Linked DNA regions of Ovis aries. The main gene of each other region encodes a partner of the protein of the gene in region 3 in a complex. Links are inferred from orthologs where the notes say so. Each region holds a gene or a part of one and is shown on either strand. Other genes may lie near its edges.

Region 1 (4,104 bases), on a different chromosome or scaffold from region 3:
GAGCATAGACTATAATTAGTTATATGGACTTTAGGAAATATTTCATTAATCAGAATTGATACAAATAAACTTTAATATCTTTTTGCTTTCATTAGAGACACTTGGGTTTATTAGAGAATGCAAATGGTTGCAAATGTTACCTCTATACAAGTGATTTTCAGTGTGAGGTTATGATTGTTTGCAAAAATATATTCACCAGGAATTTAAAAATATATTTTCCAAAAGGAAAACTGGTTTCAGTAATAATATACCTGTGGTACTTAACCACCAAGGACTGGGGACTGTTGACCTCAATTTTTCTATCTGTTGAATAAGCTGAATGAGAATTTAGTTCTAAGCTAACAGTGACCATCTTCCATGGCCTGGAATTGGTTCTACTGGGGTAGGGACTGAGGGTTAGTAAAAGGTAAGGATGGAGGCCATATGGAAGAGGAAAGTATAGAAGATAGAAATCAGATTCAGGATTGTCTTCAAATTTCCAAGGATACTTCTTTGTTCTTTGCAGCTCCCCGTCATAGTTTTCTTCTGCTGTCGTCAGGAATCAGCTTGCTTTTCTTTTTCATTGCTGTTATCTATATTTTCCACAGTTTTTTTCACCTTCCCTAATCTTTGCAGAAAAGATAGCTTATCTTTTCTGTCTCTTCCCCTACATTTGTGTCTCAGAAGTAAGCATGCTGATGTTTTTACTACTTGTAAGGAAAAGGAAATGTTCCAGAAACAAAAAGAGATCTTTCATCTGGCTGTGCCACAGGATCTCTTTTTCCCCGAGTGAGCATTTTCAGGGGGGAAAAGTTGTATATAAGTGCTACTTATATTTCAGAGGAAAATCAGATTGGCGTTATAGTGGACTCCTTATCATTAGAGCTGGGCAGAGGCAGCAGCCTGGAGTAACAAACAGGACTCTGCCTCTGGGTGGGAGGGATGAGCAAACTGAAGACAACAGGAATCAGCTGTGTTGGGTTGCTGGGTTGTGGTGTTGTAGCAAGAGCAGTATCATCCTGACCCTGAAAATCAGAAAGTAGAGGAAATTCATATGCCCTTTTGCTTTCATTCGACAGGGAGACTTTAGCACAAATGATAGAAGAAAATTTGAACTGTCTTGGCCATTTAAGCACTATTATTCATGAAGCAAATGAAAAACAGGGCAACAGTATGATGGTAAGTTTTATATGAATATGGATGTGTGTTTTAAGTGTGTTGGGTGCAAAGGGCTTAACTTTCCATGCTGGACTTATCTGGTGTTTGGGATTCAGTTGGGGAATAGAACTCAGAGCAAACAGCATTTGAGGAATGCTTAACCTCAACTCCCCATCTTCTCTTACTCATGGATATACTAGGATTATACCATCAGTAATCTTTAATAGCATTTTTGGTCAAGTTAAATGATTGGTGAGCTTTCTTTGCAGTGTGACCACTGAAATCAAATGGTCTGTACTTTTTTGCTTCTGCAGTCAGTTTTCCCCAGTAAGATGGGGCATAATTTGTACTGTACTTCAAATATAGTAACTGTTGTGTGCAAAATGAATAATGTTAATATGGTTATTAACAGAAGTGTTTTTATGAAGATTTGATTGCTATGAATTACTGATTTGTTAAAACTTGGCGAAACTACAATAAAATATTTACTGAATTAACTTTTACTATGTTTAGTCTTGATATTAATTCTTTGTTTATTCCTCTTTCATTATTTGCTTCAAATATCTGAAAACTCTTTGAAAATTTTTTTTTGTTAGTAGAAATTAAGGTAAACTAGACTCTTTAATTGTAACTTATTTGTATTTTTGGTTTTTCAACTTTTGATTATAAAATCTCCAAATAAACAGAAAACTTGCAAAAATGAACACCCATATACCTACTGCTTAGAGTCAACATCTAATGGTAACTTTTTCATGCCTGGTTTTAGAGTCTTGATTGGAGTTGGTTAACAGAATGACTTGCCACTTAGTGACTCTCCTGAAACCTATGAAGTTGTTGCTGCACATGTTAGACATTTGTTTTTCTCCTATGAAGCCATTCTTCAAATACCAGTCAATGGAAGAAATGACTATGATCAGAAACTCCACATGATTTTACAGCATAATATTTTGATTCTGGGTAATTTTAACTTCTGAACAGATAGAATTTTATGAGTCGGTGGACTTAAATCCATTTGTCTTCAAACTTGGTAAAACATTACTTATTTAACTGATTCTTTCAACATTTAACTTTTGGGCATAAGGCCAAAATAATGTATACAGAGAAGAAAATCTCAACATGTATTCTAAGTAAAAAGTGTTTGCCTATGTTTCTGTGGAAGAGACTGCTTGTGTTGTACTTGTGTTGCACTTAACAGTGCTCTTCCCAGCCTCATAAGAGAGTTTAATCCCATTTTCCATTTTACTGTACATTTGATTGTATCCCTTTCCTATGAAAGGGATTGTGCATTTGTGCCTTTAATACCAATTGATTCTTCCAAATGTTAAGTGTGCTATATGTATATGTATTTAAGATGTACATTTAATAATATCAAAGAGAAGATACCTGTTAATTTATAATGTATTTGAAAGCTTATCTGTTTTCATTTGTAAAAATGGGTCTTTTCAGGAATCTTTCATGTCTTGTCATACAAATTTATAAAGATCTGCATTCTTTATCTATAATTCCAAAATCCAAAAATCTTTGAAAACAAGATTTTTCATAAAATTGATGACAAAATTCATCTGCTTGCACATCCAACAAGAATTGACAGTGAGTCTACTTATCCCATTTAGTGTGAATATTCTTTTCTTTTGCTGCAGAAATATTACTGTATTTGATTATTAGGGGGAAGGGTGCTGGCACAGACCCTGCCTGAGGTTTATGTAGTATGGTATATGCACTGAATTACCTTTCTAAAATCTGAAAATTTCATAATTCTGAAGCATCTGTCCCCAAGGGTTTCAAGACTAGATTGGGTTGCCTTCAAGATGGTATGGCCGCAGACAGGGTTTCAGATAAAGGATTGTGGATCTATTGTCTATTAAATAATTTAGAAGGTATTACTTGTTTTAAAAATGTGAAATGCTTTTGTATTCTAGACAGTTTTTCACTTTGTATATTAAACAATTTTTAAATTACTTTCTGAATCTCTATTCATTAAAACCAGACTGTAGCAGAATAATTGAATATGCTTTGAGAAAATGTGAAGGTTCCATGAAGCAAAGTTGGAGCACAGAGTAACATAACAGGCTTTTAGTGTACTTAGGAATGAAACAGACTTACGGTAAAGGCAGTATTGGGTAGCTTCTTTAATATAGTCTTTTCTCCTGAGATGGCCTGTCATCACTATCTGTTTCTAAAAACTATGCTTATACCATGTCCTAAAAACTGCTGTCTTAGTTACACCATCCCCATTTTTGCTAATAGTGTCATTTTTCCAGTCATCTCAGTTTGAGACCTTGGGATTGTCTTCGCCTAACTTTTTAGTCAACTGCTACTACTGTTTCTCTGAATATGGACATTCTGGCTACCAGCCATTAAAACTGGCTGTCTCTCTCTTGCTTCTTCCAGTTCTAGAAGGTTTTAATCAGTAAACATTTATTGGGTGCCTGTTGCTTGGAAGAAACTGAGCAAAATGGGAAGATCAGAAAAATTAACACAGGCAGTACAATAAGAGTGTTTATTTGGAATGAAATTATTGTTAAAGGCTTTTTGAAATGAGCATTTTCTAAATATCATTATAATAACTGATAAAAGACCTGGTATAGGGTGGGACTATTTTTATGGTTTGTGGCTGATACCACCTCAGGAGAGCCTGATCTGTATGATATAGGCAAGTGGTATGAGTCAGAACAGCCTATTACAGTGAGATCACCTCAGATATGCTTTTGATACATGAGTTGACCACTCTATTTGTTATTTGTTGACAGTTTTCAGAGTTGAATTTCAATTGTGGATTATATCTATTTCATTCAAGCAATACTATGAAAAACTAAAATAATTCATCCAGAAAACAGAAGTAAACGAGTTATTTTTCATTCGTTTTGCTTTTTGTAGGTCAAAATAGCTAAGCTCTGCAACAAACATTTATCTAGTACAGACAAGGTCCCATATATTCTTAGGTGTAAAAGTCAAAGGGATGATCCA
Region 2 (4,335 bases), on a different chromosome or scaffold from region 3:
CCCTGGCCCAAGAGAGGGGTCCCCCCAAGCAGGCGAGTCCACCCGGTCCTCAGACAGCCGTCTTCAGTCGTACATGTGAGAAGCAGCCCCACCAGAGGCAGGACAGGGCATCTTCAGTTAATTTCAGCCTCATCTAAACGGGACAGAGAAGATGGCCCACAGGCTGTTGACCTTGAATCGCAAAACCATTTTATTTGTGAAATTGTCTTTGTACGTTAGTAATTAATATATGCACAAGATACCAAAAGGTACAATAGAACAATACAGTGAAGAGTAAGCTCCTCCGTGTCCCCAGTTTCCCAGGGAAAACTGCCACCAGACTCCTGAGTCTTCCTTCCAAGGTGTTCTGTGCATCTGTAAATGTGGACGTGTGTGTACCCCGGGGCGCAAAAGTGAGCAACAGGAGGCAGGCTCAACACCCAAGGCGGTTGTATAATAGCTGAGCCGTTACATAACCGACCAGTGTGGCTGAGCCAGCGGGCTCCAGGGGTGGGATGCTGTCGTCTACCGCAGGCACTGCGCCCTGACTGTCGCCTGTGTTTCCATTCAGTGCAAGAGCCCAAGAGGAACCTCCCGTTCTTCCAGCTGCGGAAGGTGTGGGGCCAAGTCTGGCACAGCATCCAGGCCCTGAAGGAAGACTGCAGCCGCCTGCAGCAGGGCCAGCGCGCGGCCATGTAGGTGCCCAGGTGCAGGGCACCATGTGCCTAGAGTGCCCTGTGGCCTGGCCGCGGGGCGGGGGCCGAGGCGGGGCCCCAGGGTCAGCCGCTGTCGGGAGGGGCAGGAGGGAAGACGCTGCTCTGGAAGGGCGGGAAGCCATCGGTGGGCAGGATGGAGGGAGGGCCTGTTAGACCCAACAGGCACATGTGGTCAGCGCGCGGACCAGGGTTGTGGACGGGGTGGGGGGCGGCCGGCCGGAGGGCTGGCCCAGCTCCACTGTGGGTCGGCCACCCTGCCGGGCCAGGCTGACTCTTTCCCCAGGTTGTGGCTGGTCTGGGTTCCTTTGCGTGGCACTTCACCTAATTCTAGTTTAGGAGCAGAGCCTCACCCATCGCTACGGGCCAGGAAATTGTCGTGATGGTTATATGTGGCTGCACTTGTTGTGATTATACTAATTATAGCAGGGGCCTGCCAAGGTGTTGGAGGCCAGTTTTATTATGGTCCGGGAAGTGGTACCTGGATCCCAAACACACCCGTGGTGTGTCTCTTGGGGGCCCCTGCAGGATGAATCTTCTGCGGAACAACAGCTGTCTGTCCAAGATGAAGAACTCCATGGCCTCCATGTCTCAGCAGCTCAAAGCCAAGCTGGACTTCTTTAAAACCAGCATCCAGATTGACCTGGAGAAGTACAGGGAGCAGACGGAGTTTGGGATCAGTGAGTGTGTCCTTTGCAATCAATCTGGAGAGACCGTTAAAATCCTTTCTCAAGTTTTTTTTTTCTTTTTTTCTTTTTTTGTGTTATAATGGAGTGCCTTTTTATTTTCTTGGTTTTGGGGTATTTTCTTTTTTTTTTTTTTAACTTTTGTTTTCCCCTCCGTGTTTTTCCTCCAGCGTCGGATAAGCTGCTGCTAGCCTGGAGGGAGATGGAGCAGGCCGTGGAGCTCTGCGGACGGGTAGGAGGCTCCCTGGGTTCCCAGCCCTGCCGAGGGCACCCTCTTCCCTGCCATCTCTCCCCTTTCTCACTGAGCGCTTGGTCTAGCTTCTGTGTCAAAAATCACATTTTCTTCACCAGGCTCTCTGCTCTCAGCTAGCACTTGCTGGAAGGAGGTAGGGGGTGCCAGGCAGAGGTCCCCAGTGTGGCCAGTCCGGGAGCCACACAGGTTTGAGTCAGGCTTACGACGTGACACGTCCTGGGGAGTACAGACTTCTTCCCGCGAGAAGGGCCCTTGGATAAAGGAGCAGCACTTGGTTGTGTCAGAAGTTGCCCTGACTTCCTCCTCGGGACACTGAGCCCGTAGGAAGGAACGGGTCCGAAGGGGCAAGTCTGAGGGCTGTGAATCCGATGCCGCTGAACAGTGTTGATTGTGAGGCCAGGCAGGGAGGCGGGGTGCCCCTGTGGACCTCGCTCAGGGGGAAGCCTGGGCCCCAAGGCCTTTTCCTGGACTTTTCCACCATCTGCCCAGTGAACTTGGGCAGGGAGCCTCCCCTCCATGTCGAAGCGTCTGTTTCTATAAATCGGTGCTGATGCCCCTTGTTCGAGGTGGGTGACCCCTTGTTCAGGCACAGGGATGTGAGCCACCACTCCACCCCTGCCCCCCGTTCCCCACGATCTCTGTCCTCGTGGGCGTAACCCTTGAGATCAAGGGCAAGTTAGAGGGGAGCGTGCCCCGGCTCGTCTCCACACGGGGGCCAGGCCAGGTCCCCTCAGGCCCCGTCGCATCTTGCCCTAGTTTCCAGTGGGGGAGACTGCAGCTTGGGGCCAGGTGACCTGCCCCAGGGCCACAGAGCTGGCGGGTGGCAGGCCTAGATCCTGGCCACAGACTCCCGAGGCCATGTCCCTTCTAGCCGGGCAGCTGAAGGTCCATGGTGAGGCTCAGGAGTCCCTGGCCGAGTCTGTCGGGGCTCAGCCTCAGCGTGGCTCTGTCTCCAGGAGAACGAGGTGAAGCACTTGGTGGAGCGGATGATGGCCCTGCAGACGGACATCGTGGACCTGCAGCGCAGCCCCATGGGCCGGAAGCAGGGCGGGACACTGGACGACCTGTGAGTGTGTGCATGTGCCTGCGCGCGGGCGGGCGCACGGGCGGGCTGTTCAAGCGCAGTTCCTCTGGAGCGCGCCCTCCTGTGCAGCCCGGTCCTGGGGAGGTCCTCTCGGCACATCTGGAAGCTGAGCCCGGGCAGACCTCCGTCCCTCTGAGCCTCACCTGAGACAGAAGAGCTGTCTGACCTCACAGTTGTGGGGACCAGTTCAGATAACGCCCCGAGCCATGGTTCGTGAACTCCAAAGCATCAGGTCAGATGCCCCTCTGCCCAGCATACCCCTGAGAAGCAGGAAGTAGGAAGGGAGGGAGCCAGGTAAGTCTTAGAAGGTGGAACCTTGACTCTTCATTTGAGTCGTGATCAGGACTTTGGCCTCAGCTCCAGGGACCCTCCCTGGGCAGAGCAGCCCCTCCTGCATTCCGGGAGCAGACGAGGGCACCAGGAGAGCCTCCCTGGGGCTCAGCTAGGCCTCTGATGCTTCTGCCAGGATTCTTAGAACCGGAGGCTCCAGTCTTTGAAATCTGATTATCTGTAGCCTGTATTTTGTCAAGTTAGTCAGTGTTTTATCTTACTCTGGTTTTCAAACAAAAGTCAGCCCCTGGAAACATCAGTCCATCTCACTGTGTTTGGGCCCTGGGGAGGGCATGTCTGCTCCTGGCTTGAGTTTCAGAGGCCACGTTCTCTGAACTCAGGACCCACACCTCTGAATTGCGGGGGCCAGGCGGGTGGGGAATGCTGAGGGACAGAGGAGGCTTCTGTCCTGAGGACTCTCAGGAAGTCTTGACCATGAGCTTTGAGTTGGCATTTCGACAGTGAGCCGGGTCTTCCTCTGTCATGGGTTTCGCCCGTGACATCCCCAGGGAGCGTGCTTGCCTCTGGCCAGGACGTGCTGCCTGCCCAGCTTCCAGAAGTTGCTGATGCTGCCGGCAGTAGCTCTGGCGCTGATGGAGCCGCTGCCTTGTGTGTTTCAGAGAAGAGCAGGCGCGGGAGCTTTACCGCAGGCTGAGGGAGAAACCGAGAGGTGAGTGGGCCGCCTCCCGGGTCCCCTACTGCCCGGGCACCAGACCGGCCCCCCACAGACCGTGCGGCTCCGTCCCGCTTTGCAGACCAGCGGACTGATGGTGACAGTCAGGAAATGGTGCGCCTGCTCCTCCAGGCAATCCAAGGCTTTGAGAAGAAAGTGCGAGTGATTTACACGCAGCTCAGGTATCAGGCCGCTGTCCCCTTGGAGGGTGGAATGAGGAGAGGCCCCATCCCCTCCCCTGGGCCCTGGAGGAGCTGCCAGCTGCAGTGGCCGAACAGAGTCATCCCCGCTGGGGCCCGCGTCCTGCTCCCCCTGACCTGGGCGCGCTGGAACTCATCGCACTTGGTCTTCACAGTAAGACCGTGGTCTGCAAGCAGAAGGCCCTGGAGCTGCTGCCCAAGGTGGAGGAGGTGGTCAGCCTGATGAGCGAGGATGAGAAGACGGTGGTGCGGCTGCAGGAGAAACGGCAGAAGGAGCTCTGGAACCTCCTGAAGATCGCGTGTGTGAGTGAGCCCCGGCGGGCCTGTCCTGGAGGCGGCAGGGTTGGTGTCCATGCATCAGCTGAGCCGGGCCCCTTCGGGAGGCTCAAGGGGAGAATCCCTCCTCGCCACTTCTCG
Region 3 (4,335 bases):
TTTGTCCAAGTACCTCATTTCACTTTATGGCTGGATGATATTCCAGTATAGAGAGAGACTGCATTTTTTTTAATCCAGTCTTCATTTGATGGACATCTGGGTTATTTCTACTCTGGCTGTTAGGAGTAATGCTGCTATGAACATTTCTGTGCCGACATGAGTTTTCATTTCTTTCAGGTAGATATCTAGGAGTTCACCCATTTTTTAGAACCAAATTCCAGACACCGTGTGATTTTTTTCCAGAAAAAGTTCCATGTGCATCTCTAAGAAATGACTTTGAAAGAAACATAACCACACCAGCACTGTCACATGTAAAATAGTACCATTACCTGCTAAGTGTCATCAAATAGATTCTAAGATACATCTTGACAGGATTTCCTGATGGATCTCATGTGAGCTGTGAGAGGCAGATGAGAATCAAGAAGGACTTGAAGGTTTTGTCCTGCCAACTAGAGCATGGGTTAGCCATCTACTGGTAACAAGGAAGGCCATGAGTGGAACTGGCTTCTGGGGATGATCAGGAGTATAGTTTTACTGAGGTTAGTTTTGAGAGGATGACTAGATATCCAAGTGGAGATATTCATCTAATAGAACAGGTGGTGTGGGCTATTTGCACTCTTAGATGAGGAAGGTCTCACTAAGTTGCCATCGAGTAAGCCTGGAAGACAGGACATGAGCCATATGGATATCTGGGGAAAGAATGTTTTAGAGGAGAGGAAAGTATGTGCAAAGGTCCTGAGGCAGAAGCTTACCTGTAATGTTCAGGGAAGACTAAAGAGGCAAGCATAGCTGGGGCAGAATGGAGAGGGGCTGAGGAGGTAGTCATGGTGGAGACTAGTCATGTGGGATTAGTAAGCCAGTGGAAGGATTCAGGCTTTGATCCTGAGTGTGACAGGAACCAGGGGAGGGGGCTGAGCTATGTGGATTCATCTGGAGTATGGAGGATATTATGGATTGTTATGTTTCCTCCAAAGAAATGTCCATATCCTAACCCCTAGTACCTCAGAATGTGACCTTAGTTAAACATGAGGTCTTTGCAGATATAACCAAGTTAAGGTGAGGTCACAGTAGCTGAGGATGGGTTTAAATCCAATGACTGGTGTCCTTAGAAGAGAAGCAGACATACAGGGAAGATGGTCACGTGATGATGGAGGCAGAGATGGAGTGATGCAGCTACAGCTGATGAATACCAAGGACCGCTGGCCACCCCCAGAAGCCAAGGCAGTGGGCTGGAGCTGATCCTCCCTCAAAGCCCTCAGAACTATCCAGCGCTGCTGACACCTTGCTCTTGGACTCCTGGCCTCTAGAAAGCAATCTGTTTCTGTTATCTTAACCACCTGCCAAATTTGTGGTCCTTTTGGGCAGCCCTGGGGAACTCCTACAGCCACAGGGGTGGAACTGGGAGCCTGGGCAAGCTTATTGTAGCTGCTCAGCAAGGGACTCTCAGTGGGCTGGGCCCAGTGGTGGGCTGGAGTGTGGGCATTAATCCATAGGGTGTGCCCATGGGCTTCAAGGTGGAGAAGTTAGACAGGCAGTCAGATAGCTAAGTTGGGTTGTAAGAGACAAGTCTGTCCTGGAGGTAGGACTCTGTAAAGTCTCAGCCTTTGGAGGGTACTGAAGGCCTTGAGACAGAGCAGGTCATCCTCACATGTGTATACATGGAGAGGGTCACAGGCCTCAGACTGCCTTTGAGAAGGAATGGTGGGCGGGGCTGTGTGCACATGTGTGAGTGCACGAGTGTGTGTGTGCAGGCCCCCAGGCCTGGCTGGGAGGTCTGTGTGGTGGTTGGTACCGAGGGGCGGGGAAAGCTGAGGACTGGGGCTTGACCCTGGGCTTGAGCAGGCCTCGGTCTCGGGACTGGAGTCTGGACAGCTTGAAGGGAGTTGGGCAAAGGGGAGTTGGGCCAACTCTTGCATCTTGTTGCTTGTGCAAATCTTCTGGAAATGGTATTAGTCCACATCACCTTCCAGTGGCCTGGGGCCCATGGAGCAGTGTATCTTTGTCACTCTGTTTGAATCTTGCCTTCCTCGGCACTGAGTCTCAGAGGTGGAGAGGCTCCCATGTCCCTGCCTCTCCTTTTGCCCCATCTGCAGGGATGAGGAAGGCCTGGGAGGGGGTGCTCACGGGACGGGATCTCTTTCCACTGCTTCAGTTGCCTGGATGAGGGGGAGATGCTTCCAGAGGTGGAGGTTAGGTGAGGGGGACCGCTGAGGGCAGCACTCAGGAGGCCTGTCACCGTGTTTCCAGGCTTCCCCGGGGACTTGAGTGTGCAAGGGGCAGGCAGCTGGCAAAAAAACCACTGCTGACAGAAAGTGGCTCTTTTTTTTTTTTCATGCAGCAGATGGCTGAGGACAAGGCCTCAGTGAAAGCCCAGGTAACATCCTTGCTGGGGGAGCTGCAGGAGAGCCAGAGTCGCTTGGAGGCTGCCACTAAGGAGCGCCAGGCTTTGGAGAGCAGGTGAAGTGACAGGGAGGGCGAGCCCAGCCCGAGGCCACTGCCAGGGCTCCCGAGGAGAACAGGACCCTTCGGGAGCCTCCAGAAATGTCCTCTGTGACAGGACACACAGGACTGGGGGTACTGGGCGTCCAGGACCTGGGTCTCAGTGCACCTGTGGGCTCTCTGACCTTCTGCTGGAGTTTGTCTTCTTTACTGAGTGGGTGTTTCTGGGGTGGTGTGAAAGGGCACGCCTGTGGGCTGCAGGGAAGCCCTCCCAGCTGAGAATGATGACAAGGAATGGGCACACACCAGGACCCCCAAGGGCAGAAGACACGGGTCAGGGGTGAAGACCCCCATGCCTTTGGTTCCCTCTCTCCCTCCCTTGAGGGGGCCCCAGCACGCTTCCTTCATAGGCAGCAACAGAGGCCCCCCCTGGAGACCTAGGGAGCCCACTCGAGATTCAGCGCCATGAGTATTATTGAGGGCTGATGGCTACCAGGCATGTGCCAAACTTCCTGACTCCCAGAGGAAAGCTGGTGCGCCCTGTAGACCACCCTGTGGTGCCAACAGCTGAGGCACAGAGACCACCCTTATCAGTAGAGAAAGTGTCGCATCAATGTCAAGGACTCGCACCAGCCTACTGCCCAGGCACCATCCCCGGGCCATCCTTGCACACTGGCCCTTCTGAAGTCAGCATCCTTAGGTCCTCTGGTGGCTCTCTTCTGCAGTGGGAGGTTTCTGCAGGTGAGGGTATTGGGTCAAAGGGCACGGATGTTTCTGTGGATCTCACGCCCCTCCACTGCAGATGCCCCAAACTGATGGGTTTGGGCTACAGGGTGGCCCCAGCCCTCGCAGCACTGGAGGTGGTCAGGGTGCCCCGGGTGGTGTCCGGGATGCCTTCCTGAAGGAGGCTAGGGGAACAGGCAGGAGGTAAGCGTGTGTGAGCGTGCCGCCCTCTAGGAAATGGATGGCGAGTGGGGAGGCCACTCAAGGATGAGCCTACTGGCTCTGGGATTGTTGCATCCTGCCGTCTCCCCAGACATGCCTCAGTCACTCAGTGTTGGGAAAAGGCACATGTAATTTTTAGGATACTCTGGTATCTTCTCTGCCTATCTCTTTTTCTGTGCACCTAAAAGAAGCTGCTGGAGTTGGGACACTGTCAATGCAGTTTTGTAACTGCCTTTGGTCCTCTGTGGAGAAGGCAATGGCACCCCACTCCAGTACTCTTGCCTGGAAAATCCCATGGACGGCGGAGCCTGGAAGGCTGCAGTCCATGGGGTCGCTGAGGGTTGGACACGACTAAGCGACTTCACTTTCACTTTTCACTTTCCTGCATTGGAGAAGGAAATGGCAACCCACTCCAGTGTTCATGCCTGGAGAATCCCAGGGATGGGGGTGCCTGGTGGGCTGCCGTCTATGGGGTCGCACAGAGTTGGACACGACTGAAGCGACTTAGCAGTAGCAGTTGGTCCTCTAACGACCCTGGAGGGCCGTTATTCCAGCAGTTATAGGCTCTTGGGCACCCTGCTTTCCTATCACCCCACCTCCGCTTCTACCCCCTTGGCTGAGCACGTATGTGCTGAACTACACAGCTCAGGGCAGGAGGTGTCTCCCATCAGGCCCCTGGCAGGTGGCAGTCCCATCCGATGATGGCAGTGACAGGGCTGGGTTTTGTCAGCTCACAGACGGGATCTGCGTCTGATAGACTGGCCCAGGTGTGGAGAGATGCTGGGACCAGAGCCCATCTCCAGCAGCCTCCCGCCATCACCCTGCAGTGGGGCTGAGGCAGCCTCGGTCCAGTGGTTGGCCTGGCCGAAGCCTGGACCCAGAGTGCAAGGTGCTGTTTGGATGTAGGAGACCCGGGGCGGTGGGGGGTGCTGGGCCATCAGTGCTGTATAC

Evidence for each region. The genes of interacting proteins can lie anywhere in the genome.
Region 1: IKBKG (region 3) and CHUK share a complex: the UniProt entries of both Homo sapiens proteins name them as parts of the I-kappa-B-kinase (IKK) core complex. The link is inferred for Ovis aries from reciprocal best matches to the Homo sapiens genes IKBKG and CHUK.
Region 2: the proteins of IKBKG (region 3) and IKBKB are in contact, whole or in part, in a crystal structure (PDB 3BRV), measured with the Homo sapiens proteins. The link is inferred for Ovis aries from reciprocal best matches to the Homo sapiens genes IKBKG and IKBKB. Residues at the interface, in NP_001093327.1 of Homo sapiens: Arg62, Ile65, Arg66, Asn69, Leu72, Arg73, Arg75, Cys76, Leu79, Phe82, Gln83, Gln86, Lys90, Leu93, Met94, Phe97, Ala100, Arg101, Val104; in NP_001547.1 of Homo sapiens: Ser705, Leu708, Glu711, Ala712, Leu715, Cys716, Leu718, Leu719, Ala722, Ile723, Asp725, Thr726, Glu729, Gln730, Gln732, Phe734, Leu737, Asp738, Trp739, Trp741.

The regions. Positions count from the first base shown.
Region 1 is NC_056075.1:20,875,513-20,879,616, reverse strand, and holds the end of CHUK (inhibitor of nuclear factor kappa-B kinase subunit alpha), read left to right. Parts: exon of another isoform or gene 1-1,004; intron 1,005-1,058; coding exon 1,059-1,158; intron 1,159-1,903; coding exon 1,904-1,933; 3' UTR 1,934-3,095; downstream 3,096-4,104.
Region 2 is NC_056079.1:36,495,240-36,499,574, forward strand, and holds part of IKBKB (inhibitor of nuclear factor kappa-B kinase subunit beta), read left to right. Parts: intron 1-550; coding exon 551-674; intron 675-1,220; coding exon 1,221-1,372; intron 1,373-1,548; coding exon 1,549-1,610; intron 1,611-2,587; coding exon 2,588-2,697; intron 2,698-3,665; coding exon 3,666-3,715; intron 3,716-3,800; coding exon 3,801-3,900; intron 3,901-4,073; coding exon 4,074-4,221; intron 4,222-4,335.
Region 3 is NC_056080.1:79,905,677-79,910,011, reverse strand, and holds part of IKBKG (NF-kappa-B essential modulator), read left to right. Parts: intron 1-2,338; coding exon 2,339-2,457; intron 2,458-4,335. UniProt on the Homo sapiens protein: Regulatory subunit of the IKK core complex which phosphorylates inhibitors of NF-kappa-B thus leading to the dissociation of the inhibitor/NF-kappa-B complex and ultimately the degradation of the inhibitor.